Linked DNA regions of Kluyveromyces lactis. The protein of the gene in region 2 interacts with the protein of the main gene of each other region in a pairwise test. Links are inferred from orthologs where the notes say so. Each region holds a gene or a part of one and is shown on either strand. Other genes may lie near its edges.

Region 1 (11,061 bases), on a different chromosome or scaffold from region 2:
GCAAGAGTTGAATCAATCTGAACTATCACAAATGTCAGCCACGCTATCAGGTACAGCGACAGTTATTGATCCATCATCTGAAGAATCCGACTACTATGAAAAGCAACTACTAAGAGTGAATCCAGATGCTAATTGTTATATCAAAGGTGATGACAACGTGATCATCAAGGTTAAGATATTGGATGCAAAGATATCTGATAGCGAAAACAGAACAAGCTACTATACCTGAAGGATTATTAATCAGGGTTATTTCGTGTTCTAATGCTAAAATCAGCTAGGATTATGACTCAGTTACGTTCTATGTATATGATTATTTATCTATATTGCCCATGAAAGCATTTTGAAACATCATTACTATTATCTTTTAATTGCTGCTGGAATTCGAACTAATTTCCCTCTTGACCAAAGTCTTTGGTGAACTCTTCCTGTTTGTGTATATCTTCTTCATTAACTGTTGGTCTTGACGTTTGTATAGCCTTTAGGAAATCTTTTACAGTTAAATCAGGCTCCTGAAGTTCATCAGCATCAATATCTGTCCATGACATTTCAATGGCTTCTGGATCGCCTGGCGAACATGGTGTTAGCTTCCGTACGTCTGGATCATCCGACGAATTCTTGAAATGTGTTGCCATTTGAATCTTTCTGACAGGTTCCATTAATGCGTCCTTGACAACCACGGCAATATCGGATCCTGAATAACCATCTGTCATCTCCCCTAGAGATCTGTAATCTTCTTTTGTTAATTTACATGGTGTATCACCAACGTTCAACTCAAACATTTTTGTTCTGCTCGCAAGGTCAGGTAGGGGAATATATATTCTTCTCTCAAATCTTCTTCTAATAGCACTATCCAACTGCCATGGGATATTAGTTGCTCCTAGAACTAAGACTCCACTGGAATCATTACCTACACCATTCATTTGAACCAAAAGTTCTGTTTTTATTCTTCTGCTTGCTTCACTCTCTCCCTCTCCTCTTTGCCCGGTCAATGCATCGACTTCATCGATAAAAATGATGGACGGCTTGTTCTCTCTTGCCATGGCAAATAGTTGTTTGACCAATCTTTCTGACTCACCCATCCATTTCGAAACCAAGTCACTGGAACTTATGCTGAAAAAGGTAGAGTTGGCTTCTGTGGCAACAGCTTTCGCTAAATAGGATTTACCAGTACCTGGTGGACCATATAACAAGATTCCAGTCGTAGGCTTACGTTTACCCTTAAAAAGATGTGGGAATTTCACTGGAAGAATCACAGCTTCCTTCAATGCTTCTTTAGCACCTTCTAAACCAGCGATATCCTCCCATTTAACGTTAGGCTTTTCTGTCAAGATCGCCCCTGATAAGGCTCCTCTTAGCTTTTTATCGTCTGCATCGTCCTCTGTATTGGAATTGCCACCTGAACCAGAAGCAGTGGCTGCCTTTTTTGGCTTTTCTTGTTTCTTCTGTTGTTCTGTTTCCAAATGCTCCTTTAATTGTTCTGCACGATTCAGATACTCAGTGAATTTTGCTCGAATTAAGTCCTTAGATTTGGGGTTCTTCTCATACTTTAATGCTAGCATCAAATAGTCTAATCCATTGTAATATGCGGTGTAAGCCTCGTCATATTGCGTAGCTGTGTCTAAATCAATGGCTTTTTGTATTAAATCAATTCCCTTTGTTAAAAAATCACCGGTGCTCATATCAATGTAAGTGCTGTGAGTAGTGAACACTAAATTGTAATCTTGAAGCCGTTCTACAATTTGAATGGCTATGGTATTTCGAAATCACTATGGAGCAGGAACAGAGGGGTAAACTGAGTCACGTATCAGTCGACACACATTTAAGGCAGTACGTATCTCTATTATAATAGGCTTTTTGCAATTACTTGGGAACATCAACATAAGAAAATGTATTTGACTATGCTTTATCAAATCACGTGATTAATTACAATGTCTAATGAAATGTTCATCTACAGCACTCTTCGGATACTAGCAGTCGTGATCCTAGATTGCTTATGAGAGAGATGCCCCAGTCATATAATAGAAGAGTCTCACACTAAATATCTTTTTGCCATTAACGTTAAATAAAATAGTATATTTGTATCGAGGAAGTACTAATTCTATTTAATTATTCTGTACATATTTATAAGATTTTATAACAGAGACATTAGTAGAGTGATCTTATTTTTTATCAACGTGTTGTTCGTGGATCTTGGCGTATCTACCGGAAGGATCTTCAGCACAACCCCAGTCAGCCTTTGGAATCCATCTCATGACAGTGGAAGCAGCGGTCTTTTGTGGGAACAAAGCATCGAACTTCAATCTGTACCAGTAGGCTTCCTTGGTAGTTGGAATATCGTCACCCCATTCAGCCTTTGGTTGAGCGAATTGTTCATCAGAGATAGTGCTTTCAGCTGCATCCTTTAGACCATCAATCCAAGAGTAACCGACACCGTCGGAGAATTGTTCCTTTTGTCTCCACAAGATTTCTTCTGGTAAGTATGGTTTCAAATCTGGTTCATCCGTGGTATCGAATGCCTTTCTTAGAATGTATTTTTCGATCTTACCTTCAGCTGGTTTGATCATCTTGTCGTTTGGATCAATGTTCATACATAGTTGTAGGAAGTCCCTGTCCAAGAATGGAACACGAGCTTCTAGACCCCAAGCCATGGTAGATTTGTTAGCACGCAAACAATCAGCCAAGTGCAAGTTCTTAACTCTCTTGACAGATTCGACGTGGAATTCAGCAGCTGATGGAGCTTGTGCGAAGTATAGATAACCACCAAAGATTTCATCGGAACCTTCACCGGACAAAACCATCTTAACACCTTGAGCCTTGATCTTACGAGAAAGCAAGAACATTGGGGTGGAAGCACGGATAGTAGTGACATCGTAAGTTTCTAAGTGGTAGATAACATCGTCCAAAGCGTCTAGACCTTCCTGTAAAGTGAAAGTATGTTCGTGATGGATAGAACCGATGAATGTAGCCACCTTACGAGCAGCTTGTAAATCTGGAGCGTTTGGCAAACCAACAGCGAATGAGTGCAATCTAGACCAGCCAGCAGCATGTAGATGACCTTGTTCGTCAAGCCCAGCCAATTGATGTGGGTCACTGTCATAAACAACTGGATCAAGTTCGGCATTAGTTTTTTCTGTTTCTCTTGCGGCAATAGCAGCAATCAAAGAGGAATCCAAACCACCGGACAATAGAACACCGTAAGGAACTTCAGCCATTAATCTCTTTCTAACAGCCTTTTCCAAACTTTCTCTAACAGCCTTAAAGTCAACTGGGGTGGTTGGAATTCTGGATTCGTCCAACCAGTCAGGAGTGAAATATCTGGTCAATTTGTCAGTTTCAGAGTCGTATACGTGACCTGGTGGGAAAGCAATGATTTCATCACAGTCATCGGTCAAACATTTCAGTTCACTGGAGAACCAAACAGACTTTGGAGAAGCAGAGGATCTACCCATGTAAAGAGTGGTAATACCGATTGGGTCTCTGGCAGCGATGATACGATCCTTCTTAGAATCGTACAAACACCAAGCGAACATACCATCCAAGTGTTTTGGAGCATCGATATCGTACTTTTCGTATAATGGAATGATAGGTTCACAGTCAGACAAAGTCTTGAATGGATAGCTTGCACATTCTTCTCTCAACATGATATGGTTGTAAATTTCACCATTGACGGCCAAAGTGTAAGAACCATCTTCGGAAGTGATTGGTTGGGCACCAGAGTCCAATCCGACAATAGCCAATCTTTCGTGAACTAGAATAGTAGAGTTCTTAACAATGTTACCTGACCAATCTGGACCACGGTGTCTGATTCTCTTGGATAATTGTAAAGCTTTTGGTTTGTAAGCCTGAACATCAGGGTTTCTGAATGAAGCAAATATACCACACATCTTGGGTCCTGTTACTTCGTTATTCTGTATATCTAATTGATAAGAGCGAGTAAAAAACCAATACTAATACAAAACAAAGATCCTAACATAAACATATAAACAATTCTTATTACAAGCGAGCATTAGTTTTCTTGTGATGAGCATCAATTCTTTATACTTTTTCCAAAATTTTTCACCAGAGCTTGAATCGCCGTATTCTTTTTTCTTTCGAGATATTGAAAATGACTCAGTATCAATTGCATATCAAAAGAATATGACAAAGCAGCAGAGAAACGAAAAGTAACGAAGTGAAAATGAAAATTGGTGCCAGATTCTAACTCTGATTCATAGTTGATTCATTTGTTCCCGCTCCGACTTGTCATATTCACGATACCATCGTATCACGGCATTTTTTTCTATCTAATATTTACGTTTACGTTTACAGTTAGTTTAGTTTTTGAAATGAATCGCACAAGGCGATTCATATTAGCAAGAAGCAAGACTCAAACACACAAACTCACATCAAGTCTATACATGGGATGACCTTCCCAAAAAGAATCAGAATTTTATAAAAAGTGTCCCAAATCATTCAAAGAATGTAACAAGATTATAAGGCTTGCGAGGGCACCACATTCTCCATTAAAACCATGAACAGAAAATAATTCCCATCCACGAAAGAATTGTAAGAATTAAAAAAGCGCAAATAGTATCATCGTCTTCTTTTAAAACTTGGAAGGTCATGTGGATTTAAGCCCAAAAAGAGTAATACAAGTAAAGCCTATCAAAGTTACATCTCTTCTACATCACCAATTGTGTCTTGTAATTTCTTGGTTCATAAATCTTTCTCTTATATATGATGAAATTCGGGCTAGATCATTTTATACTAATCGTTGAAATTTGTATGCTGTTAGGGCTCATAGGCTGCCGTGAACTGGAGGATACGCACCCCCTGAAGGAACGAGCATCAGTGTGCGTATTCAAGGTGATGCAGGCAAGACTTGACTGACAACAGAATGGTTTACCACTCTAAATTATATATTTAATGTCGCCATTGATAGCTAGTTTATTAGGAAATGCGATCACGTGATAAGAATAATTTCTTTTCAATTGTCTTCTACATTGCAAGAATCTCTGAAAAATTTGGAATCAAGAGATGAGATGAGATGAGATGAGATGAGATGAAGTCGAATAGGAAACGTTAAGGTAGGATATTCTCACCGTTATAATCTGTTTGATTACTCGCAATAAATAATTGGAATTCACATATAAAAGTTTCCCAAGGATTCAGACAGCGATTAACCAAGATGCTCTCGAAGGAAGAGATTAAGCAAGTTTGGAAGTCTATTAGCACCGGCAATGATAGAAAACATTACAACTCGTTGGTGAACCTAATCCATGGGTACAATGAACTTCTAAAGGAAAACGAATTGTTGCACAATTTGGAAGATGATTACCGTTATATGACCATTGCTTTGAGTCAGATTTTCATCAAACTTTTTGAGCGTGGTCAATTGATGCCTCATCTTGCATCCAATGCCAATGAAAAGAAATTCTTTGAATGGTGTAAGAAACTATATTTAAATTATAAGGTTAAGTTATTGGCTATCATTACATCTTTGCATGAAGTTAACTCGTTGAGTTTAGATTGTTTGGACTCATATATGAAAATGCTTCACCATGAATCGATATATTGGGCTTCGAAACCAAATAGTCCTTTCTTTCCAAATAAGACTTTAAGATCGTTACTAGTGGCTCTTTTCCATTGTAACTTTGAAGGTGATATCGGTTTCAAAGATGGTCAGAGCGAGAATCCCGTGTTTAATCTATTTGTGGAAGCCTATTATAAGAAGAATTTCGATATTCAATTCTACACACAATCAGAACTGATATCGTTGTTACCAGAACTTGATGGCCAAACATCTGACGAAATTTTGATGTCTAAATGGTTGGCTTTATGCAACAACGATGTTCAGGGATCACCAGACTTGGAAATATTCGTATCTGTGCCCCCACAAGCCATCGAGAATGATGCTAAGTTTAAATCCAACCTCGAAACAAATTGGTTGCACTGTCTAAATTTAGCCAACTTATCCAGTAGCCAATATAAAACTGTGCTTTTAGTGCTACACAAGAGAATTATAGTATGGTTCCATCAACCAACAAAGCTTATGGATTTCCTTACCGACTCTTACAACCAAGGTGGTATCGTTTCAATCCTTTCATTAAATGGTTTGTTTGAACTTATGAAAAAATACAACCTAGAATATCCAAATTTCTACTCAAAACTATATCAGCTTCTAACTCCAGAAGTAATGCACGTTAAGTACAGATCAAGATTTTTCAGATTAGTGGACACCTTTCTATCTTCTACACATTTATCCGCACAACTGGTAGCGTCATTCATCAAACGTTTGGCACGTTTATCCGTATCGGCACCACCAGGTGCTATTGTTTCTATAATACCATTCGTGTACAATCTAATCAGAAAGCATCCTACATGTATGATTCTATTACACGATCCAGAATACATCGACTGCGATTCAAAGAAAAGGCAAGAATATCTAGATCCATTCAACAATGAAGAAACCAATCCAGAACTTACAAATGCTCTTTCCTCCTCAGTATGGGAGCTAGAAACGCTAATGAATCACTACCATCCAAACGTAGCCACTTTAGCGAAGATTTTCCAACAACCTTTCCAAAAGTTAAGCTACAACATCGAAGATTTCTTAGATTGGTCTTACGATTCACTTTTGCAAGCAGAAACCAATAGAAAGCTGAAGATCCAACCTGCTCTTGAATTCGAAAGGTTTGAAACAATTTTCGAATCAGGTTCTGATTCAGCATTCCTACCCTTCATAAAATGGTAAATACATAATTTCAAGTAGAAAACTTAAGTAGTTCAATTCCAAATTGAGTACTTTCTTTCACTTTCGCAAATCTCTTCACATTACATCTCATCACATCGCCGTAATATTGAAACATCGAGATGAAAAAAATCAACAAGTCAACATCAAGAAGAGAAAGACTCACATCAGAAAAAACTTTAAAATGGGCTCCGTTTATCGGTCTTGAGGACTTAAAGGCACATACCATACCAGTTGGCTGCTTTTTTACCACTACTATTGAATAAATGACTGAGGAAGTGAAAGCCTGTAATCCAGAGAAAGCCTTAGAGCTGAAGAATGAAGGTAACAAGTTCGTGAAGGAGAAACTGTACGCAAAGGCAGCTGAGTATTATACAAAAGCCATCGAGCATGATCCCGAGAATACGATCCTATATTCAAACCGTGCGTTCACCAACCTAAAGTTGGATAACTTCCAAAGTTCTTTAGACGATGCTAAACGTGCAATTGAATTGGATAATAACAATTTGAAAGCCTATCACCGCAGAGCTATGTCTTACATTGGGCTACTAGAGTTTAGAAAGGCAAGGAAGGACTTGATCATTGTGTTGAAATTCAAGCCTAACGAGCTCACTGCAAAAAATGCATTAGCAATCTGTGATAAAGTCATACAGAAGGAGAATTTTGAAAAAGCTATTAGCGGTGGAGACTCTTCTAAAGTTGATTTATGTCAAACTTTAAATATCAGCTCATTCGATGCAAATGCCGATCTCCTCAAATATGATGGTAAAACCTTGGAATTCGAACAAGTGAAGTCAGATTCTGGGGCCAATGCTGGTGTCAGAGTTAACAATATGAACCAGGAATTCATTTCTTATATGATTAATGAGATTTTCCTAGAAGGTAAAAAGCTTCCAAAGGCTTACGTTGCAGCGATCATTTCTCATGCAGACTATTTGTTCAAGCAAGAAAACAGTGTTGTTGAACTTGATAACAGAGAAAAGCCGGATACAAGAATTTCTGTATGTGGTGACACGCATGGTCAATTTTATGATGTTCTGAACATCTTCAAAAGTTATGGGAAAGTAGGCGGCTCCAATGTATATTTATTCAATGGTGATTTCGTAGACCGTGGATCATGGTCTTGTGAAGTGGCCATTTTATTCTATTCTTTGAAAATCGTGTATCCACAGAACATTTACTTGAACAGAGGTAATCATGAAACCAACAGCATGAATAAAGTGTACGGGTTTGAAGACGAATGCAAATACAAGTACTCCCAGCGCATTTTCGATCTTTTCTCACAAAGCTTCGAATCTCTACCATTAGCCACTGTCATCAATAGTTCATACCTGGTCGTGCATGGTGGTTTGCCAAGTGATACTTCTGCCACTGTAGAAGATATGAAGAAAATTGATAGATTCCACCAACCACCAAGAGAGGGAACATTTATGGAGTTATTATGGGCGGATCCACAGGCTCCGGATGGATTTGGACCATCTCCTCGTGGCTTAAGTAATGCGTTTGGGCCTGACATTACTAGAAAGTTCTTGAAACAGAATAATTTAAAGCGAATCTTCAGGTCTCATGAAGTTAGACAAGGCGGTTACGAATTTGAGCATGAGAATCAATTGGTCACTGTTTTCAGTGCTCCTAACTACTGTGACGCCGGTGGCAACCTCGGTGCAATCATTCATGTTGTTCCAAACACAAAATCTGAAAAGAAATCATCTATCGACAGCGACTTGGTAATAGAAACTTTCTCTGCTTCACCACATCCAGATATTAAACCAATGGCATATTCAAATGGAGGGTTAGGATTTTGATCCCTCATCTGACCTGATCTGATCTTTTTTCGATAAAGTTGTAATTAATAATATTATTAGTCTATTATACAGTCTTTGGGATTACCTATATATGTACATAGTTTTGCGCTTTAATAAATGCAGATGATTCCCTCTATCATATAGAACTTCCTCTTTTCAACTGTCACCAGCAGTTTTCACCAAATCAAAGAACTTCTCCTTGGAAACCTCCGTTATCAACTCTTTTCTCTCTGAACGGTTCTTCACACCACCCAATGAGTCATTGATTTCCTTTTCAGTCTTAACCTGAGTAGAGAGAATTGCATTGAATAACTTCACAACACCTTTCTGGGCAATCTTTCTTAGTTTACGTTCCTTCTCAAGAATTTCTCTAATTTCATCCGAGTTTGCGTCTGCAGCCACAACAGGTATAATATCTTTCTTTCTAGTCTTATTGAGTAGTTGTTTCTTCTCTGTGAGTATAGCTCTCTTAGCCTTTTGCTCTAACTTATCTGCTTCATTTTGCTTTAAAACTTTCTTATTCCTAGCCATAATGGGATCTTTACGGTCGTATGCTTTCAAATGCGATGATAAAATATTGGTTAACGCGCTGGAAAATGTGGATGATCCATCATCGTGTTTGGATTTGGAAGACTTCTTCTTTCTTGGGAAGTCATCGTCATCTGGTTGGTTCACCACATCTTCATCGTCACTGTCTTCATCACTGGCGTCATCACTCGACACTTCATTTAGATCCATTTCATCGTTATCTATTTCGGAACCTGTACTGCCTTCAGAATCCACATCAGAATCTACTTCATCAGCCAATTGTGATACTTCATTCTCTTTGACTTTCGTTTGAGCCCTGATCTTTGCAGACTTGTCATTCAACTTGCTCTTTTTGGTGACAGGTATTGTCACTTTACCCTTGCTACTCATAGTATTTTCAGGCGGCTATACAATACAAAGCTGTCCACTGCACAATCTACCGGCAAGTTAACCTTCTATTGAGATAGTGTGAATTCAATGATGGATCCTAAAGGCCCAGATACAGTCTTGAAAGCGATGAGATGAGTTGTGCTTCACTGAAATTTTTTTTGGCATGTTCACTAACAAAAAGAAATACATTCTATCAACACACCCATACACCACTGCAAATTTGACGTTGGTGGAGCCGCCGTCATAAGAAACTTGAAGCTGAACTCTCTTACTAGCCTGTGGTTCCCCGACTGTTGGGTTTATTGGAGTGTGGTGTATCTGTAATGGTTCCTCTACTTGTTCAAGCTACCCAAAGAAGGTTTGTTGTGTACTGAAGCCGGTTCAGTTTCGAAATATGTCACATATACTAGTAAAGATGTAAACAAATAATAAGATCAACCGAAAACAAAACAATCTTGAAACACCAAAGGAGACATAGCAATTGAAGAACGTATATAAACCAGTACCGCTTTGGAAAAGACGTGTAATAAGGTAGTGGGTTTGACTAAATTAAACTGGTTGGCTGATAATCAAACGGAATATGAATGGACCGCCGTCAACGCCAGAAAGATGTTCATCGAAGGACGGTTCTAATATACCTTCTCCAACCCAGCAGGGTTCAAGTTCACCAAAATACAAACCAAGGCAGTCGATAAGATTGAATCCAGAAGATGTACAGAGTATAAACAGAAGAAGGTCTCTCACGCCCAGTACTGAAAATAGAAGCTCAACTCATATGACATTCTTTTACAAAGAAAACCTGAAAGAACTGAATAGATTGCAAGAAGAGTTGTCCAGAAAAAAGATCAAGTTGAATACCGCACAGGATGAGATGAACTCGTTGAAAAGCAAAGTGGAAACTGTAGAGTTCAAAATGAACAATTTGAAAGAGGAGAAACAAGTGAAAGTACGACAAATCGGGTTAAAGCAGAATGAATTGAATAGCATGGATCAAGATCATGAATTGAAGTTAGAGTTTATGAGAAACGGATTTGATCTAGAAATAAAGAAGATAGAGGGAAAATACCACTGTGAAATGAATGAAACAGAGTCGAAATTCAAATTTGAAGTGCAGCAGATTGAATTTGAAAAGATTCAAAAGTTTAAACAAGAAAAGGAACATTTATTGAAGGACATACATAACTTAAACGATGAGGTAAATAATAATGACAATGTCATTAACCAATTAAAGGAAGAACTTGATAAGAAATACTCAAATCTTAAAGAGAAGTGGATGGTAGAGTTTCAGACGGAATGGAAGAATATCACAGAAGCTAATCAGTCCATGATTAAGGATATCAACAAGTTAAGTCAAGATATAGAAAATGACATGACTAATGAATTGGATCAATCTAAAGACAAACGTAACATTTTAGAAAAGGAGCTAGCAAAATTGGAAGAGAAGCTTAATGAGAAGAATGTATTCAAGGAATCTATTACTGTGCAAATAGACACTGTCGAAGAAGAAATAGAGCAAACTATCAGTCAACGGAAAGAACTCAATGAGTATATCACTAATTCCAAAAACGAACTTTTACAAATCAATGAAATACTGATAAAAGAGGAGAC
Region 2 (9,855 bases):
GAATATTAGAAACCCAGCCACCTGAACAGTGGCCATCTGAAGGTCGTATCAAATTTGAAAACGTTTCCTTGGCTTATAGACCTGAATTACCTGTGGCACTAAAAAATGTATCTATAGACATTGGCTCAAACGAAAAGATCGGTATTTGCGGTAGAACTGGTGCAGGTAAGTCTACCATTATGAGTGCGCTCTACCGACTAGTGGAATTAAAGACAGGTAAAATCACCATCGATGACATTGATATCAGCACTCTTGGTTTATATGAGCTTAGAAGCAAACTTGCAATCATTCCTCAAGATCCAGTTCTTTTCAAGGGTGATATTCGTAGAAATTTGGATCCATTCCAAGAGTGTACGGACGAACAACTTTGGGATGCATTGGTACGTGGGGGTGCTATCGACAGAAAAGACGTAGATTCCATCAGAGCGCAGCACAAAGATGCTAATGGACTTTCTGGTGATATGTTCAAATTCCATTTAGATCAGATGGTGGAGGATGATGGTTCCAACTTCTCCTTAGGCGAACGCCAATTATTGGCTTTGACCAGAGCCCTTGTGAGGGGATCAAAGATTTTAATTTTAGATGAGGCGACGTCATCTGTGGACTATGCAACGGATGCCAAAATTCAATCTCGTATTGTGGAAGAATTCTCCAACTGTACTATTTTATGTATTGCCCACCGTTTGAAGACTATCTTGGCTTACAACAGAATTCTTGTTTTAGATCAAGGGCAAGTCGTTGAGTTCGACACTCCTAAAAAATTGTACAATGACCGTGACTCTATATTCAATGAAATGTGTCGCGGTGCTGGTATTGTTCCTGCAGACTTCGAAAACTCAAAGTAATCTCCTGTATATATCATTATTTCTTTTGCATTACATTTTGTTGTTTGGTTTGGTGTGAACAGCATGTTTTCCAAAGACTTGCATTAGCATATATTTTCGGTAAGCAATGACTGCTTTCTATATATTTAATGAGCCTAAAATTTCTATCAGCCACAACGATCATTCATAGTTTAAAATCAATAATAAAACTTTACAAAACCATCAATCTTCTTTACCGTACTCCTAACATTCGAATAGTATTCCCTGTGTCTACGGCATACTATGTATTTTTCTTCTCTTCCGCACTTCCACTTATTCACCGTAGTGCACGTTTGTATAAGTATGGGAAATATTTAAAGGAAGAAATCTAATCAGAATTGAATTTGTCTATATTCTTGTTGCACATATTGAAATATCGCATACGAAAGTGCATGGAGACTTACTCATCACGTCGATACCTATCTAATCGAATGTCATTTGTCAGGTCTACGACTTCCAAATTTAAATTCGGTGCTCATGTCAGCGGTGCTGGTGGTATATCCAACAGCGTTACCAATGCCCATGAAATTGGCTGTAATTCGTTTGCAATGTTCTTGAAGTCGCCAAGACAATGGAATTCTAAACCGTATCCCGAATCAGAAATCACCAAGTTCAATGAGAACTGTGCAAAACTTTCTTATGATCCTAAAACTGATATTCTACCGCATGGTTCTTATTTCATAAATCTAGGGAACCCAGATCATGAAAAGGCAGAAAAGGCATACGATGCGTTCCTCGATGACCTGGTAAGATGCGAACAATTGGGAATTGGTCATTACAACTTCCATCCAGGATCATCATTAGATGGGGATCATGATACCCAGTTGAAACAGCTCGCAGGATATATTAACAAAGCCATCAATGATACGAAATTCGTCAACATTGTTCTAGAAAACATGGCTGGTCATGGCAATTTGATAGGAAGTAACTTAGAAGATTTGAAAACTGTCATAGATATGATAGAAGATAAAAACAGAGTTGGTGTATGTGTAGATACTTGTCATACTTATGCTGCAGGATACGATATATCAACAAAAAATGCCTTTGACCAATTCTGGAAGAAGTTCGATGCCATCATTGGATTCAAATATCTAAAAGCGATCCATTTGAACGATTCAAAAGCCCCATTAGCAGCAAACGCCGATAGACATGAAATATTGGGACAAGGGTTCCTAGGGCTCGAAGTTTTCAAGATCATTGCCCACTCAGAATTCCTTCAGGGGATACCGATAGTACTAGAGACACCACAAAAGGAAGACGCTGGCTACGGTGAAGAAATCAAACTATTGGAATGGCTAGAAACTATAGATGAAGAGGAAAACAAAGACTACATCGAGAAGAGATTAGCATTGAATAAACTAGGAGAAAAGTCCCGTAAAGAATTCCAAGCTAAGTTTGATAAGAAGAACAAGTCCACAAAGACCACTAAATCTACTAAGAGGAAAGGACCTTCTATCACGGAACAACTGACAAAAAAGACAAAGAAAACAAAGTCTTAATACTGCACCTAAATATGTAGAAATAATGACAGCATATGTATTTTAACCTTTTTATTTAATCAGCAGTTCTTTCGTTCTTCCAACATTGAGGTCAACAAGCGAATGCTTATCATATCTATGGAAAAAAAAAAGTTCAACCCTATGTCAGGGATCGACGTAATATCGTCTGCACAAACATTTAAAGTTTTGATTTTTTTGGGTCGAGGGAGTTAAGATAAGTTCAGTCGTGAAAATGGGTTCGAAGTATTTGTGTTTGTTTTGTTAACTCTTTCGGAATCGCTACGGTAGTCAAAGCTCGAAAGTACCACTCACCTAGCTTGTTACATTACAAATATCTGTGTATTTGGTACTGTATTAGGGTGCTTTTTTCACATTTTGTTTGCAATAGAGCAAAGAAAAGAACAAACACAGAAATATTATATTCACTGGAAGGTTTTTAGAACAAGTGGGGCAATTGTTGTTTTTGGATAAACGTAAGTACAGAGCTCAACTGGACCCATCTGCCAAGCTATGAATGATATGGATACTAGAACTGAACCTAATGTCCAGCTGACAGAGACACCAAAGCTTGCCCAGAGAGAGTTTGCAGGAGGAGATGCGGAGTCATCGGTCAAGAATCAGCTTCCGGAGATCAATTCGAGTCTTAATAGAGAGGCAATCGATGTTGGTATGTTGCCGACTCCAACGGCAAATGTGTTTACTTCACCAGTTAGGGTCAATAAGTCACCTGGGGGTTTTGATGCCGGGCTGCAGGTCGAGAAAAGACGTAACAAAGATAGCGCCAGTAACTCTGGAGTTCCAAGTCCTACGATATCTTCTGTGGATACTCACGAGGAAGTACTCGATGAAGAGCTCTCAAAACTTGGTACCTACATGAATCGTGATGTCACTCATAAAATAAAAGGAAGGATGTTATCTGAATATATTCCAAATAATTCAATGGGCGATGGTAGTGGTGGTGTTGCTGTTCAGCGTTCAATTTCATTAAATAATCGTGTCGTCGAGAAACCTAGTTTGAAGAAAGAGACTATCATCAATGAGGTTATCACTTCTGTACCATCGGATAAAGAAAATGAACAAAAAGCTGATGGTACGATTATTAGGGGATACATGGCTAACACTCCAAATCATATTAGCTTCCAATGGTCTAAAATAAAAGAGATTGGGTCAGGAAATTTCAGTACTGTCTATCTTTATGAATGCATCGATGATAATTTGAACATCAATTTAAATCCGGAACTGAAATATGTGGCAGTTAAAAGCATTAAATATCCGAGAGAGTTACTTATGAGCTCATCTCCGTCATCTCCGAAATACAAAGAATTATTGAGTCGAGTTGTAAGTTCTTTGAAGCGGGAACTGACCACTCTAATTTCTGTGCACCATCCATGTATCGTGAAACTCTTTGCAATCAATGATACCACGTTTATTACAGATGAACATCCATTGTACGGAAGGCGTAAGCTCTCTGCTTTACCCAGATGTGATATGATAATGTCATATTGCACTGGTGGTGATTTGTTCGATTTGGCTAGCAAAACTAAAATTCCAAACTGGCTACTCACCAGAATTATCACAGAATTATCCGTTGCCATAAAATATTTGCATGATAATTTTATCATTCATCGGGATATTAAACTTGAGAACGTCTTATTAAAGTATACTCTAGATGATATGATGTTATTAAAAGAGGACGAGAGCCAGTTCTTTTCAAAGAATTTCGTAGAGTTAGCAGATTTTGGTCTCTGTAAGAAGATAACCCCAGATGAAATGTGTACAACCCGTTGCGGGTCAGAGGACTATGTTTCTCCTGAAATTCTCTTAGGACTTCCGTATGATGGAAGAATCAGCGATGCTTGGGCCTTTGGAGTAATTACTTATGCATTGTTGGAAGATAGGTTGCCGTTTGACCCCTTACCTGGTCAGAGTTCAAGAAGAACCCGATCCATTGCCCATAGAATTGCAAGATGCGACTGGAAATGGCTAAAGAATGCAGACACCGATCATCCTGCCAAAGAGATAGTCCAGAACACACTCGTAAGAAAAAGCGAACGTTGGAACATGGATCAACTTTGCAACACACCCTATATTCGTAACATTATTGATAAATTACAGTTTTTAGACCATCAAGGATAAATTATATAGATCAGCATTTATATACACAACCAACATACATTAAAATCTAATGAAACCTGATATTCTACTCAACGAACATTCATTAAAAGTATACCTTCTAGGATCTTCAATTATTGCATTCTGCGTGCCAGCTTGTCTTTCATTTATTGTTAACGTTGTTATGTAGGTAATGTTGTTACCTTAAAAATCCAAGAATTAACTTGAATACGAAATTTAATCTCGTTACAGTACGCTCACTGATGAAATTGATAAAAGAAGAAAGGAAAATAAGAAGACTACTAGAAGCTAGGATCAGTAATTGGTGCTACTATTGACAATCAAAACTACATAACAACTATGCCTATCGAGGAAACTGAAACTGAAATCATCCTGACACATCCTAACAATTCATCAACAAAAGCAAGAATTCTAAAGTATGGTGCCACGGTATTTTCCTGGGAATTAAAAGGTGAAGAGCAATTATGGTTATCTACTGCTGCTAAGCTCGATGGTTCCAAACCGGTTCGTGGTGGTATTCCATTAGTTTTTCCAGTTTTTGGTAAGAACCATGATGATGAACATCTAAGTAAATTACCACAACACGGTTTAGCAAGAAATTCCGTATGGGAATTTTTGGGCCAAGTGAAGTCTAACCCTCCAACCATTCAGTTAGGCTTGGGACCTGAGTTTGCTAATGAAGAGCTAACCAACTTGTGGCCATTTGAATACTCTTTGGTGCTATCAGTAGAACTTGGTGATGAATACTTGAAAACTGAAATTGAGGTACTAAATACAAGCACTACGCAAAATTTGAAGTTCAATTGGTTATTCCATACTTACTTGAAAATTGATGACATTGAAGATACGTTGGTTTCTAATTTGAGCAGCACCAAATTGTACGATCAACTATTGAAGGAAAGCTATATTGACAGACAACCTGTGATTTCTGTGCATGAAGAATTAGATAGAATTTATCAAAATGTTGACGAAGACAGAATCATCCAAGTGATCGATAAGGGGTACCCAATCCATACCTTGAAAAGACACAACCTACCAGATACTGTCGTTTGGAATCCGTGGGTGGAAAAATCTAAAGGTATGGCAGATTTTGAACCAAAGGATGGGTTTAAAAATATGGTGTGTGTCGAACCAGGTCATGTTCATGATTTCGTGGTTTTGGCACCAGGCGAAAACTGGGTTGCCTCCCAGATTTTGTATAAAGATGAATTGAAGTTCCAAAAGGTCTAAATAGCTTTTTATTCAAAGCCGCTCAATATCATAATATATAATAGAAATTTTTGTTCGTATTTATACACCTATATATGCGCATGACTGTATACAGCAAATAAATGAATTAAATCTTGATAGAAATCGCCTTTGCAGACCATCCGATCATACCTATTCAGCTTTTTCTTCGTCATCTTCATCATCTTCTTCTGGTAATGCCTCATCCAGGTTGATTCCGGCGTCAGCGAAGGCTTGTGGATTGAAACCTTGTTCCATTCCAGGGAAGCCAGCGCCCCCCATTTGGCCAAATTGTGACATCAAGTCGTTATCAGCAGCAACATTCTCTTCTTGTTCATCTTCGTCAACCCATTTATCAAAGTCGGTTTTAATGTAATGATACTTAAGCTTCTCCTTGGTCAATCTGGGCCAGTATTCAAGGCCTAAATCTTTCTTCCTTAACACCAAAAAGTAGTTTCTACCGTTAGCTACCCTCTGCTCCGAGTTTTCCGTATCAATTGGCTTGTAGAAGTCAATGTGCAAATGGTATTTGATCCCATCTTTACTGTGATACTTAGATAGTGCACTGAATTCCAAAGAATTTTCGGTTAATTCCATTTTAGGGTTCGTACAGTCTGGAATATTGATGGTAATGAACAAATTGTTCTTGGTATCATCGGATTCGCTTGAACGTTGAGCCCATAAAACTTCTGGAGTGTGAACTGACATGTTAATTTGATTTATTGATTGGTAATTGGCGGTTTAAGTGTAATTTGTTCCAATTGTACTCTCTTTGTTTGAGTAACAGTTTGTATGTGAACGCAATATTTGTTATTAACATTTTCTGTAACTGCTTCAAATTTCAAGGTTACCTTTAAATATAAAACAGAAGAGCAGGAAGCTTCTAGATAAAATTTAACGATATGGGAGAGAGAGACAAGATACAACACCAACCACCACCAGTCATACATCCTTTTCCGAAAAATACCAAGCTAGCAATGTGCACTTACAAAGACTCTATATGTGGATCAATTTATAGACAGTGATGGTTGGAGACTTTCGAAGTTCTTTCAAGAAACCATCTAGGTCACGTGATATATATGTATATATATCCACACACTAGGATTGAGCTGATTTCGCCTCAACAAAGGGAAACTTCGACCTCTGAATTTTAGCAACTGGAAAATTTCCGCTAATCCTGGTCATTCGTACTGCGTATAGTATATTCATATGTATATATCCCTCCGCTGTATGCGTATGCAAGACTTATATAAGAAAGTGAAAAAAAAATTAGGTACTTGAGATTTCGTTTCTACTGCACATCATCAGCAATTAACGAAAGGTCTCGATCAAACCGAAAAGCAGTAACTCATACGGGCCATTCATAGTAACGGTCATTTGAATACTATGTCATTTAACACTAACGTTTTTACTGACTCTTCATCAACTTTAGGATTAGGCTACAATGGTGTTAAAGTAACTTTGAACTATTTCGATGGTCTACCGATATTGCAAAACGTTCAATCTACTGACTTGCAATTGTGTTTCAAGTCATTACTAAAGCGAGCGAATACTACCAAGGAAAAGGCTTTGAATGATCTTTTATCCTTTATACAAGATGACGATAAACTCTCTATTTTCCAAGATGATATGTTCATACTATCATGGTGCCAAATTTATGCAAAGTTGATCTCGTCTGATTCGAAGACTATAAGAATCCAGGCACATCAATTCACTGCTACTTTGATAGCGAAGTTTGGGAAACGTGTGTCCAAGTTTCTGAAAGAGCTTATCCCAATGCTTTTGAGTGGACTCTTCGATGTAGATACGGCGGTTGGAAGATCATGTTCTGATAGTTTGCTCAACTGTTTCAAGGACTCTAATAAAGTTAACTCATTATGGAAACTATTCACCTCAGAGATTTTAAATTTTATTAAACAGGTTATTATAGTAGAAACTGCAAAGTCCATATCCGATGAAAGATATTACACAAAGGAAGACATTTCATTGAGATATAATCAATTATTAATTGCATCCATCCGCACTTTAACTAAACTTATTAGTGTCGAGGAACTTACCACTGATCAAATGGAGACTTTGCACGAAATACTCACAGATGAAGAATTCTGGAATAACCTAAGTTTAAAAGATACAAAAAATTTGAAGGGATACCAGTCTCTTTTACATCTAATGATTGAACTTCGGTCTAGACAACTATATCGAAAAAACAAGGAAGCTTTGAAACTTGCCTCCAAGAAATTACTCGTGTCGTTGTCACAATGTAACGCAAAAACTCTTATTTCAGTATCATCTGTTTTACCTGACATTTTGAAAACGTTGTTGGAGATGAACAAGTACAAAGATGGTAAATTCTGGTCTTATGAAAAGAAAAGTAAAGAGCGATTACTTACATTCCTCTCATTGGGGCCTGGAATATCGGATCCAGTATATTACTCTTTGGCATATCAACTTTCTGCTGAATCGAGCATACTTGAACATCAAGAATGGCTCTCGATCTGGATCAAATATCTCGATCATGAAAATGATCGGCGGGTACTAGGTCGGAATGGATACAAGTCATTGATCGAGGCTTGGAAAAATTGCATCAAGTTTAGTATTTCATCATCGGACCAAGACAGCATTCAACAACTTCATCCTAACATCTTAAGGCTTATCACCACCAAAGACCTAAAGGAAATTCCTGAGCTTGTTTTAGAGTTATCACCTACACGCATCAACTATGCTTTTTTATACGATCTAATCATTGATCTACTTCCTTTGGGTAAAGGTGAAAAAAGAAAGGAAGTCTTACTTATATCCAATACCTGTCTCATTTTGTCCAGTGATATCACAACTATGCATATGTTGAGCGTTGAAGTTATGAAATCTTTGGAGGAGTTGGAAAATCCTGACGATCTTCCTTCTTGTTATGGCTTCATTTTCTACGATAACTTGATCAAAACCAATAACTTGAACCTTACCAAAGAGATTAATACTTTTATCGACGTATTACCCACGTTAGTCTCTGAGGCTTTCTTCAAAATTCCAATGGATGTGATGATAGATTTTTCAAACTCTGCATTCTTAGCGAATTCTACTTGGGAACAGTATTTTGACGATTTTATAATGGTTTTATCCCAATATGAAACACCAAAGAAGGCAATTCCTTCGTTTTTGGCTCGCTTGAATAGTGAATTTCTCTCAAAACTCATGCATTCAAGTCAATCCTACAAGGATTTCACCGAAGATTTTGTCTCCACTTATCAGTTTGATGATGATTCTATTTTCAAATCAAAAATACTAAACGGTTCTCTTCTACTCAGGTTATATGAAGCTTCTAAGAAGCAAGGTCATGTCAAGGCATTTAAAGATTATTGCACCGAAATTCCAGAAACAAGCGAAGCATATATAACTCTATTATCAAATTCAGATTTTCTATCACAGAGTCTAATTGTTGATCAAAAAGTTACAATACCAACTACAGCACATTCTGACCAAACAATTGCAAATGCTGTTTTTAAGACTGTTCTCGATACTATATCCGTTGAATGCTTGATAACGGAAGATAGCATTGATGAATTTGTTCTTCAACTACAACAGGAGTCCTTACTTACCAGGCTTTTTATTAGTTTAGATTTGGAAGTCATGTTTTCCAGATACATCAATAAAATCGATACACGCACATCCGTCACTTCTCCCTTAGGCTTACTGCCACATATATTGACAGCTAAAGGAGACGCTTCATTAGTCGATTATTTGAAATTGATTAGACTGTCACAAGTTGTGGATAAGATCTTAACCCGGTTCCCAGATGAAGTCAGTACTTCGCATTTGTTGTTTTTAACGAGATGCTACGAATTAACTGCTGATTATAATTGTTTGAGCGATGAACAAATAACATATTTCCATGAAAACAACATATTCTCCTCCTGTGTGAATGTCTCTTTCGAAGATTTGATCTCTTCATTTACAGAAGACCAAAGCAATGAAATTCTCACTGTTCTCTTCGACAAGAACTCTTCGGAGGTCACATCCTTTTACAATTGCAAAATTATCTATAGAATTTGCCTCAACAGTGTTGACTATCTCTCTATCTCTCAGTTTGATAAAATTATGGATGGCTTCTTGCGAACTGCTAGAAGTTTGCTTTCTAG
Region 3 (10,059 bases), on a different chromosome or scaffold from region 2:
TCAGTTCGCTTCCCTCGTCATTTGGTGACGGTAGCACTTATGAATTTCAGTCTAGTGCGCATTGTGCTTCAGAATGTTCCGGATCACAGTATATGGCTTTATACAACCATGACGAATGTTTCTGTGGTGACGATGATCCTTCAGGATCCAGTTCCACGTCCAGCAGTTGTAACGCGTATTGTTACGGTTACGGCTCTGAAATGTGCGGTGGTGAAAACGCTTATCTGGTGTACGCATTGAGTGATAGCACTTCTTCGGGAGGTTCGAGTTCAAGTTCGAGTTCAAGTTCGAGTTCAAGTTCAAGTTCAAGTTCCAGTACCAGTTCTAGTTCCAATTCAGGTACTACGACGACACTGGCCGGTACTTCAAGTGCGGATAGTAGTACACAAGCGTCCATTACAAGTAGTCCCTCTTCAGCAACGGACGGTAGCAATTCGTCTGGGGACGATGAACCAAGTGTCGTATATTCCACATCCATTAAAACCGTAAGTGGATCAGTACAATACGTGACGACAAACATCGTGACAGCAAGTTCGACTTCGGGATCCTCAAGCTCAAACAACAACAGCAATTCCTCCTCATCGAAAAAGACACAAGTTGGGCCCATCGTAGGCGGTGTCGTTGGAGGTGTCGTGGGTCTGGTTTTGGTAGTCTTGGCTGTCATTTTAATACTAAGACATATCTCAAGAAGAAGAGAGGACGAACGTATGGAAAAGGAATACCAAGAGGCTATCAAACCGGTGGACTACGATGAACATAGAGATAACTACTTTACTTCCTCTGCTTCAGATTACATGCACCCTGGAGACAGCGATGGAAGTGGGAATGGACATGGACTCGATACTAGTATCGCTACAGCAACAGCAGCGGGAGCTGCTGGTGCTGCAGGAGGACTGGGATCCGGGTTGGGACGAACGCCATCTTCTGGAATACCGTTATCAGAATCCCAAGGAACTGTGTCTAACCCATTCGCCGACTCGAAAAGAACCAGTAACGGTTCACTTTTCGATTCACCCGACCTGCATCATGAACAACAGAATAAACTTACCGTTGTTAACCCGGATGAATAGATCTACATACCCACACTTCTATCTAATCGTTTTCCAATACCATACCATACTTTAGTCATACATACCGCTCTCTTGTTCTCATTCCATCGGTCGTCTGTGCTCCATAAAGTCGTTATTCCCGAGAAACTGAAAGTTACCCTACTTTCAATTCTTTCCCCCCAATAATCTTTAGCCGAGCTAATTTCAATATGACAAACATTCAAAGGATTTAAGTATAAAGACATACTCTTGATGGCAACGAAATTGGGTTCAGACCGATCCGGTGGCAACAGACAAAGGGACTTAGACGTTTTAATTGTATTGTTTCGTATACACAAAGGATTTACAGGCATTTACAACCTAGATACTAGAGTTTAGTTCTAAAATATCAAGCCAATAAAGTAATCATAGAATCAATTTGTTAAGAATTGTACCAGTGAGTTAAAGAGAAAGAGAGAGAGAGAGAGAGATATGTCCGTTAATTCTCATCCTATGGCAGTTCCTCATGAAGAGGAGGAAATTCTGACTTATTTCCTTGATGTCCGGTCGTTTTTGTCAAAGATGAAACAGAATAGATCTCAATTCCTTAACTCTAAGGATGTTATGGACACTTATCAGAAAGTGTTGACAAAAGTCAGGGAGTTGGATGAATTGCGTAAGAATTCGCATGCTACTCCTTCAAATTCTGCCACTACGCTGATTCATAGTTCGGAATTGCACAATAGAGTCGATTCTGTTATCGATGATGTTTTCCAGTTATTGTCATTGAGTTTCTTGACCGTTGGTTTGAAAAATTCAGCTCCAGCAACTTATGCTTCGCTCTCGACCGTGCAGAGCTTGTTGGAACATTTAAACGAATCGAACGTTTATACCCATCACGACTTAAGACCTATTAAAGAGAGACTTAATGAGGTCAGTGCCATCGTGGAACAAAACAAGTATGTTAGTAATAGCGACACTCAGAGCGTAAATGCAGATGCAGATGATATAGGAGAATTTGCTTTGCAGAAAGATGAAGAGTTGAACAAGAATAAGATCGAAGAAGATCTGTTGTTAAGAGCCAAGCTAAAGCATTGTATCGACGAATATAACGCCATCGAGTCGAAGTTAGAAGAGATCCATCCGGACTTGCAATCTACCATGGAGGCATTGTTCCAAATTAGAAGAGGTCTACTGTCACTGGCATCTTCTACAAAGAGGCCTCATCAGAAGCAATTGGTACCGGATCCGGCTGTTCTTTCGGTGGAAAGTGAGGCATCGGAAAAGAAGAATGTGTTACCAGATCAAGTGATCGATGAAAAATTGAAACAGCTACAAGAACAATTGGAGAAGTTAGAATCTCATCGTGATATCAACGGGAAGTTCAAATCTTTGGAGACCGATAAAGTCGAAGAAAAAGGCCAAAACGTTCTAAACGGTTTATTAGACGATTGTCATGATTTGGTAAATGATTTGTCCCATCAAAAGGATGGTGGTATCTCTCTCGACACCAAGTTGCAACCTATCTATGATCAACTAGTGGACATCAAGACTACTTTGGAAAATTTGTTAGTAACCAGAAGATGGACTCTAAGAGAAACTGATCTTTTCACATACCAAAAGAAACTAGGAGAAATCGATAACTTGAGAGTTAACGGTAAATTCCCAACGGACCACCCTGATTCTAAGGGCCAATCGATTTTGTTGTACTTATTGCGTAGGTGCTACGCCATCATTTATAAACTCTTAGAATCATCTGAACCGGTATCTGAATCTTTGCAAAGAGTTCATAACCAATTGTCAACAGTACGCAGATGCCTATTAGAATTGAAAAGAATGGGTGGTGTAGACAACGACCGCGAATTGTATCCATACCAGATGAAGCTAGCGTCCTTGGACAATATGCGTGTTGATGGTAAATTCTACGATACAGATGGTAATATCCCTGAAGGTCAAGGTACTCTAAACGCCTTGCTTGCCGAATGTTTCGATATCATTCATGAATTGAAGATCGAAGCTGAGGAAAGAGTAGAAGAAAGAGTGGATATACATGATGACGGTGAAGAATCAGTGGAAATGACAAAGGATCCAACCATGAGAGACGTCCAAGAACGGCCAACTGCGAGATACATGGACGTGTACGCTCATGATGACGAAGGTAATGATGATGACGATGAAGATGATGCTGATGATAACAACTTTAGTGAACATAGTTACGACGAAGAAGAGTATACAACTACCAGTTACGCGGATGATTAGAATATGCCAACGGCAAAACAAGATTAACCCATAACTGGAGAGAAAAAAAAACATTACCGTGCTGCTCTAATCAATGCGATCCACACAAGTGTATATTATATTGGACCTATTCCTTTATTCGTTATCTTTTTCCTTTCATCATCATTATTGTTCATTTACTATTTTGAAAGCAAGCAAAGCTAATAAAGTAAAGATGTTTGGACCTAAACACCATGTTGTTCTATGACACTCATCACAAAATTACAAATTATTTCAAACATACACGATGCATACACTGTTCTTCCACTCACAGAAAAATATACGTATATATAACAGGAAACACTACGGGCTAGTCTCCATTATCTATTGTTTTCTCATACCAATTCTAACTTTTTAATCAAATCTATTTCTTTTGGAAACCACAATTTACTCGGACCACCTTCTCTTGCTAGTGTTATACTGTGATTGTTTTATTCGACAATGCTCTGAATTTGACCGTGGACTCTGTTATATACAGCTGGATATACTTATACAACTATTAAAGATAACGGTAATTTTGCAGCCATTCTTGGTGACAAGGCCATTGAATAGTTGATTGTTGCAATGAATTTTTGGTTATATTCCCAATTGTTATGTAAACGTAATTGTAGTTCTTAATTTAGCAGTTGGCTGTATTTACCATTCGAGAAAATGTTTCTTGTAGGGCTTTTCACTCGAGTGTTTCTTCGCTTTGTCTTCCGTCTTTCAATCTTTGAAATTGCTTGTTTGCCTGTTTTTGAACGTTCGAACCTTTAAAAAGAGCAAAACAGGAAAAACGCACCTTCAACTGTACCAAATACGCCCCCCATATCATATCTTTTAATCTGCCCTAACTACAATCATCGACTTATATTTTTATACTGTTCTGTGAACTATGGTTGAATTACGTCGTTCTAATAGAATCTCTGCTAAGAAAGAACCTTTAGATTCCGAATCTGCTGAACCCATCAAGGTAAAGGCAAAGACAGAATCAAAGGTTACCAAGCCAAACGGAAAAAAAGAGGTTAAAAATGAAGATAGTGCCAATAAGCTAGCTGAGTTGCAAATTGGTGATGACATTCCTGATCTAACTCTACTAAATCAGGATGACGAGCCGATATCGTTGAAAGAAGTTGCCTCCAAGAATAAATTAGTGGTGTTCTTTGCTTATCCAAAGGCCAGTACACCTGGTTGTACTAGACAAGCGTGTGGCTACAGAGACAATTATAGCGAATTGAAGGAACACGCTGCTGTTTTTGGACTAAGTGCTGACGCTCCAAAGTCTCAGAAGAGTTTCCAAACTAAGCAAGCCTTGCCTTTTGATCTATTAAGCGACCCTAAACGTGAATTTATCGGAGCTTTGGGTGCTAAGAAGACAGCTGTTTCTGGTGTTGTCAGATCTCACTGGATCTTCAAGAACGGTAAACTAGAAGTGAAGAGGGTTCAAGTTTCACCTGAGGTCAGTATTGAAGAAGGTAAGAAAGAGGTTTTAGAATTGGCCAAGTCTTTATAAAACCCAGTGGCTAACATAGTTACTGACGATCGATTTCTCATATGTAATAGTAAATGTCAAAGGATTTAAACATAATTGAGAATGGAAAAAGATTTATATTACTATATACACACATAAGATCAGATTGAGTAGCGTTTCTCTCAAGGGCGTTTCATTTTTAATTGCAAATGAATCTTTCTCCTCATATAAGCACTGATAGATTAGAGTAGGATGGCCAGAAATTCTTCAAATCATGGTCACTTTCACAGCCTGATGGTGTAATCGTCTCCGCTCTGCGTAATGTAACGTACCCAAGGATAACTATTATACTGTAGCTTTGGTTCTTCGATTTTCAAATAACGAACTTGAATACCGGATGTTGTGAAATAAGGAATTTGGAATTTGATTTGTACTGGTCTTTTTAATTTTGGTGGTTCAGCATCAGAGACTGAGGGCAACCCCAGTTGCGCAGCCATTGAGTACTCTTTACCACCTTGGAAACTACTAAATTTCCATAGAATTGCATTCTTTTCAGGAACCCACTTGATATTACCACGAGAATATTTGAACGTGGGCGAATCTGCGTCTTCCGGAATCGGTATTAAAATCTCCACATTATTCGCTACTGACTTCTTTTTAATTTGTGCCTTTGCCCTACAGTGAATCTCGATACGAGACCCTGAATGTACCTGTACCTTAACGTCACACCATATCAAAGGTTTGATCGGGGTAGAGAGTCTATAAGTCATTAGATCAAATTCCCCATCAGGTGGGATGAACGTGATAATCTTTTCATTCTCAAACTTGCTCAATCTCACACATTGATGGAATTTTAGATCCTCAAGTTCTATATTACTATTCTTTTTCTTCGAAGAAACTACAGGTTCAGGTGAATCTTCTTGATCATTAGTTGTGAAAATACCTTTATCATTCAAACCCAATTTCAAATCAGGCATACCAGATAAACGGGATCTAACTTTGACAGTACCCAAGATCTCAGATCTTAATACTTGGCCCTGCTGTGTCATTAGCATATTGATCGATTCGATTACATCCAAGAACGCTTCGTTCTTCTTGTACTTGATACCCTCTGGTCTCCAACTGACAGAATTGGTCAATTCGGTTGGTGGTCTAGCCACATTCTTTTGCTTCTTCGCTGACCTAGTCAATTTGAATGACTTCTGAGTAATATACTGTTTCAACATTTTCGTTTCTGTCACTTGCGGAACGCCTTTATCCATCATTTCGTCTAAAAGTTCGTATATGATAATATAATTATCTCTGATTGACTCTTCTTCCACCCTTTTCACGTACTCCTCAACTACATTGATCAACTTGTACATGAAGGCGAACATAGTGGTAGCATTAACGGATACTGACCTGGTCAATGCTAGCACGTAAACATCGTTATACTGCACGTACATGTAGTGAATCCCATTGTGATGGAAACAAGGAGGCATGACACTGCTTTCCTGTTCTCTTTCTAGTAACAAATGCTGGAACGATTCGACAGCAGACTGTGAGACATCATCTTGGTATCTTCTCGAGAGTAGTGGCTTACCCTTTGAATCACAAAATGCAACGTACGAAGCCATTATACTGGTATCTTTTTAAGAAATGTTGCCTCCTGAAACTCCACCAAAGAAAGAGCAAAAAACACACTAGTGATACTGCACAATTGGTTACTATACAGGGTCCTATACCGATATATTAGTGTACGGTTTGGCTATTACTTAGATTGTTCATTGTTCAGACACTATTTATAAATGTAGTTTCGAGATTTCAATGCTTTGGATACCGAAATTTCACTTATTTACAGCGGTACACCACATACACGAGGTGCTAAATTGCATCTAACAATGCGAACACTCGGCAAGAGAGACCTTCAACCATGAAGTGTGTCATATACCCATTCAAATTGGACATTGGACGAGATCTGGTCTCTGTCAAACATCCGGGCCTTTTCAATCTTGAGCACGGGGACCATTCGAAGTCCAGGAAAATCCTGATTGAACCATAATTTGCACTCTCTGTGGTTCCAAAACTGTAGGGTTACATTGCCGATGACGAACAACGTATTCAGTGTATTCAATGTGATCCTATCATTGTTTATAGTTTCGTAATCTAGCACGCAGTCTACAGTGAAGTAGCATAGAATTAATGCTGTAGAGTCTCTAATCGTTGCATAAACGGTGTAATCGTTTACTCTATGGAATTTAACAATTCTGACGAACCTCTGAGGTGCGGGATTCAAAGCCGTTTGGAAAGCTGACTCTATGATATCATGTTCTAGTAAGTCCGTTACCAGTTCACGTTGTTCTGGCCAGAATTTCGTCTTTTCATTCTTTAAATAATAAGGCCTTACCGAAGGTTTAATCCATTCCTGCAAGAACACTGAATCATTATTCGTTAATCTTGAAGAAAGTACAACATTGGGCATGTGAGGATTGATAAGGTTAGAGTCTCTGTTCAGTGTATGTTAATAATGCTTCTCTGTTTCTGTACTACAATGGGTTTTAGGATGAGATTGTACCTTGATACAAAAATGTAAAAAAATTCCTCCGCGACGGGGAATTGAACCCCGATCTCGCACGCGACAAGCGCGAATTCTAACCATTAAACTATCGCGGAATAGTAAATTCGATGAGAGTTTATTGGACAAAATCATAATCCACGTGGCAAAAGTAGTCATGTGACTAGCTATGCAAAAATGTTAAAAAATGAAACGGACAGGAATTGAACCTGCAACCCTTCGATTGCAATTTTGTTTCCTTGGAAAATTCCCAGAATTTAACTGGAGTCGAAAGCTCTACCATTGAGCCACCGCTTCATTCTTGAAACATTTACGACAAGAATAGAATATAACCGACTTACTTTTGTCATGTAAAAGGGGCCACAGATGACACAATAGGTTCTGGTAAATATGCTTTACCCACGAGCATGGCCATAATAGAAGAAACATGGGAATGCCTTTGGAAGCTTTTGTTCATGTTTCATTATTGAAATAAATATCGGTATATCTCATTGATTTATATATATATATATATAGTTCAGATATGATGGCGTTTATTTCCATACCGCATGGGTAGATCAATTGGCAGCTGAATTGACAGTGAAGTTCTTTGCCCTATCAAGACCGTTTATACAAGATAACAACGCCAAGAATGAAGCCAGAGTAGTATCCTCATGAATACCAACACCCCATTGAACAAATCCTTCATGAGAGACAGAGATATAAGTAGCAGCTCTCGAATCGGAACTCTTACCCAAGGAATGCTCATGATAGTTTTTCACATCAAGATTAGTTTTGAAGTTTTTATTCACAGCATCGATGAAAGAAGAGATTGGACCGTTACCAGTACCTTCCAAATCCCATTGAGTAGTTCCATCTGATAGCTGCACCGAAAGAGTGAAATTCTCCGGAGATTTGTCATATTTATAGTCGATAAACTTGAATTTACCAGTAGTTGAATGAGATCCAACGAAATACGATTTCTCGAATAAAGAGATTAGTTCATCGCTCTTCAACTCTCTACCGACTATCTCAGTTTCATTTTGAACGATCTTAGAGTATGCAATTTGTAGATCTCTTGGTAAATCTAGCTCCAAGTTCTTTAGGATAACCCAAGAAGAACCACCTTTACCTGATTGCGAGTTGACTCTGATGATAGCCTCATACGTTCTTCCAATATCCTGAGGATCCAAGGGGAGATATGGCATTTTCCAAGGTACCACTGCATCTGGACCCTCTTTTTCTTGTAAAGCCTTAACCTTGTTGTCGTATTTTTCGAAACCCTTTTTGATGGCATCTTGATGAGAACCACTGAATGCACAAACGACAAGTTGTCCTCCGTAGGGTGCTCTAGCATGCACGGGAATCTTATTACATTTCTCAACGACTTCAATAATAGAAGCCATATCGGAGAAATCGAGGTTTGGAGATACACCCTGTGTGTAGAGGTTTAATGCCAAGGTAACCAAATCAACGTTACCGGTACGTTCACCGTTACCGAAGAGACATCCCTCGACACGATCTGCACCAGCCATTTGAGCTAATTCTGCAGCTGCCACAGCACACCCACGATCGTTATGTGGATGGAGAGAGATACATACTTTCTCACGTTCGGAGATACTTTGAGCGAAATATTCGATTTGGTCAGCGTACACGTTTGGTGTAGCCATCTCGACGGTAGCTGGCAAATTGAAAATGATTGGATTATCTTCAGTGGGTCCCCAAGCAGCCTTAACAGCTTCACAAATCTCTAGAACGAAATCCGGTTCACTATCGCTGAACGTTTCTGGAGAAAACTCAAATGACCAATGGGTATCTTGTCTATCCGGATGGTCTTTTGTCAAGGACCTAACAAGTTTGGCACATTTCACAGCCTTTTCAATACTTTCTTCATGAGACATATTGTTGAAAACGATTTCTCTGAAACATGGTGATGTCGCGAGATAGATATGTACAATGGCTCTCTTGGCACCGACCAAAGATTCAACGGTACGTTCGATCAAGGGTTCACGACATGGAGAAAGAACTTGAATGGAAACGTCTTCTGGTACGTTTTTCACTGCATATTGAGTGAATTGGAAATCGATATTAGAAGCACTAGGGAAAGCAACTTCAATCTCTTTGAAACCCAATTCGCATAACTTATCGAGCATCAGTTTCTTCTCTTCCAAATTCATCGGGTCAGGTAAAGACTGATTCCCATCTCTTAAATCGGTAGCTAACCATCTTGGAGCCTTATTAAGGGTTTTACTAGGCCATTTCCTGTCCTGTAATTTGACGTTGCTAACGAATGGTTTATACTTCACTGAAGGATCTTTGTAGAATGGCATCTTGCTCTAATGACTCTTTACTTCTCTATGTGCCTGATGGGTTTTCCTTTTTAATTACCAACCAAATTAAGGTGGTATGAATGATTTCAAGTTTTGAATGTATGTATATATATATGAATCAATGTTAGCAACACATCATCAGCTTTTTTTTATTACTCATAATGCACTTGGCAAATCGTTGATTAACCTGATGACATTTTCTTTCCCTTTGCAGCTTGACTGACTCATTTACCCTGGTCATCCATAATCAAAGTCTAAGAAATATCAACCGGTTTGCAGGTACGCTCATCTGCAGAGGTCTGTCTGTGTTACTCAGCAATTTTCTCGATGCCTTTAAAAATTTTTCAGAGTCATCACCATAGTATGGAAGAAGGGAACGGAACGGAGCTGGAAGTGACAGAGAAATCGATGGAAGAATGGACAATTTGTTGGAGAGGGAAT

Evidence for each region.
Region 1: the proteins of SBA1 (region 2) and PPT1 interact in a two-hybrid assay, tested with the Saccharomyces cerevisiae proteins (2 studies listed by BioGRID). The link is inferred for Kluyveromyces lactis from reciprocal best matches to the Saccharomyces cerevisiae genes SBA1 and PPT1.
Region 3: the proteins of SBA1 (region 2) and DOT5 interact in a two-hybrid assay, tested with the Saccharomyces cerevisiae proteins (2 studies listed by BioGRID). The link is inferred for Kluyveromyces lactis from reciprocal best matches to the Saccharomyces cerevisiae genes SBA1 and DOT5.

What each region holds. Positions count from the first base shown.
Region 1 is NC_006038.1:948,952-960,012, forward strand, and holds PPT1 (protein serine/threonine phosphatase), read left to right. Parts: upstream 1-6,996; coding exon 6,997-8,535; downstream 8,536-11,061. Other genes in the region: KLLA0_B10824g (pyridoxal 5'-phosphate synthase), read left to right, coding at 1-229; AAA family ATPase VPS4, read right to left, coding at 387-1,679; ASN1 (asparagine synthase (glutamine-hydrolyzing) 1), read right to left, coding at 2,160-3,884; ribosome biosynthesis protein NOC4, read left to right, coding at 5,168-6,733; rRNA-processing protein RRP15, read right to left, coding at 8,692-9,453; KAR3 (Kar3p), read left to right, coding at 10,034-11,061. UniProt on the Saccharomyces cerevisiae protein: Protein phosphatase that specifically binds to and dephosphorylates the molecular chaperone Hsp90 (HSC82 and HSP82). Dephosphorylation positively regulates the Hsp90 chaperone machinery.
Region 2 is NC_006039.1:1,238,118-1,247,972, forward strand, and holds SBA1 (Hsp90 cochaperone SBA1), read right to left. Parts: upstream 6,431-9,855; coding exon 5,876-6,430; downstream 1-5,875. Other genes in the region: ATP-binding cassette transporter YOR1, read left to right, coding at 1-845; DNA-(apurinic or apyrimidinic site) lyase APN1, read left to right, coding at 1,256-2,362; serine/threonine protein kinase PRR1, read left to right, coding at 2,873-4,498; KLLA0_C14300g (glucose-6-phosphate 1-epimerase), read left to right, coding at 4,835-5,725; ubiquitin-protein ligase RKR1, read left to right, coding at 7,109-9,855. UniProt on the Saccharomyces cerevisiae protein: Acts as a co-chaperone.
Region 3 is NC_006040.1:1,212,886-1,222,944, reverse strand, and holds DOT5 (thioredoxin peroxidase DOT5), read left to right. Parts: upstream 1-4,179; coding exon 4,180-4,797; downstream 4,798-10,059. Other genes in the region: SLG1 (Slg1p), read left to right, coding at 1-1,070; CUB1 (Cub1p), read left to right, coding at 1,521-3,287; APM1 (Apm1p), read right to left, coding at 5,040-6,371; telomerase subunit EST3, read right to left, coding at 6,662-7,216; KLLA0_D14201g (2-isopropylmalate synthase), read right to left, coding at 7,867-9,618.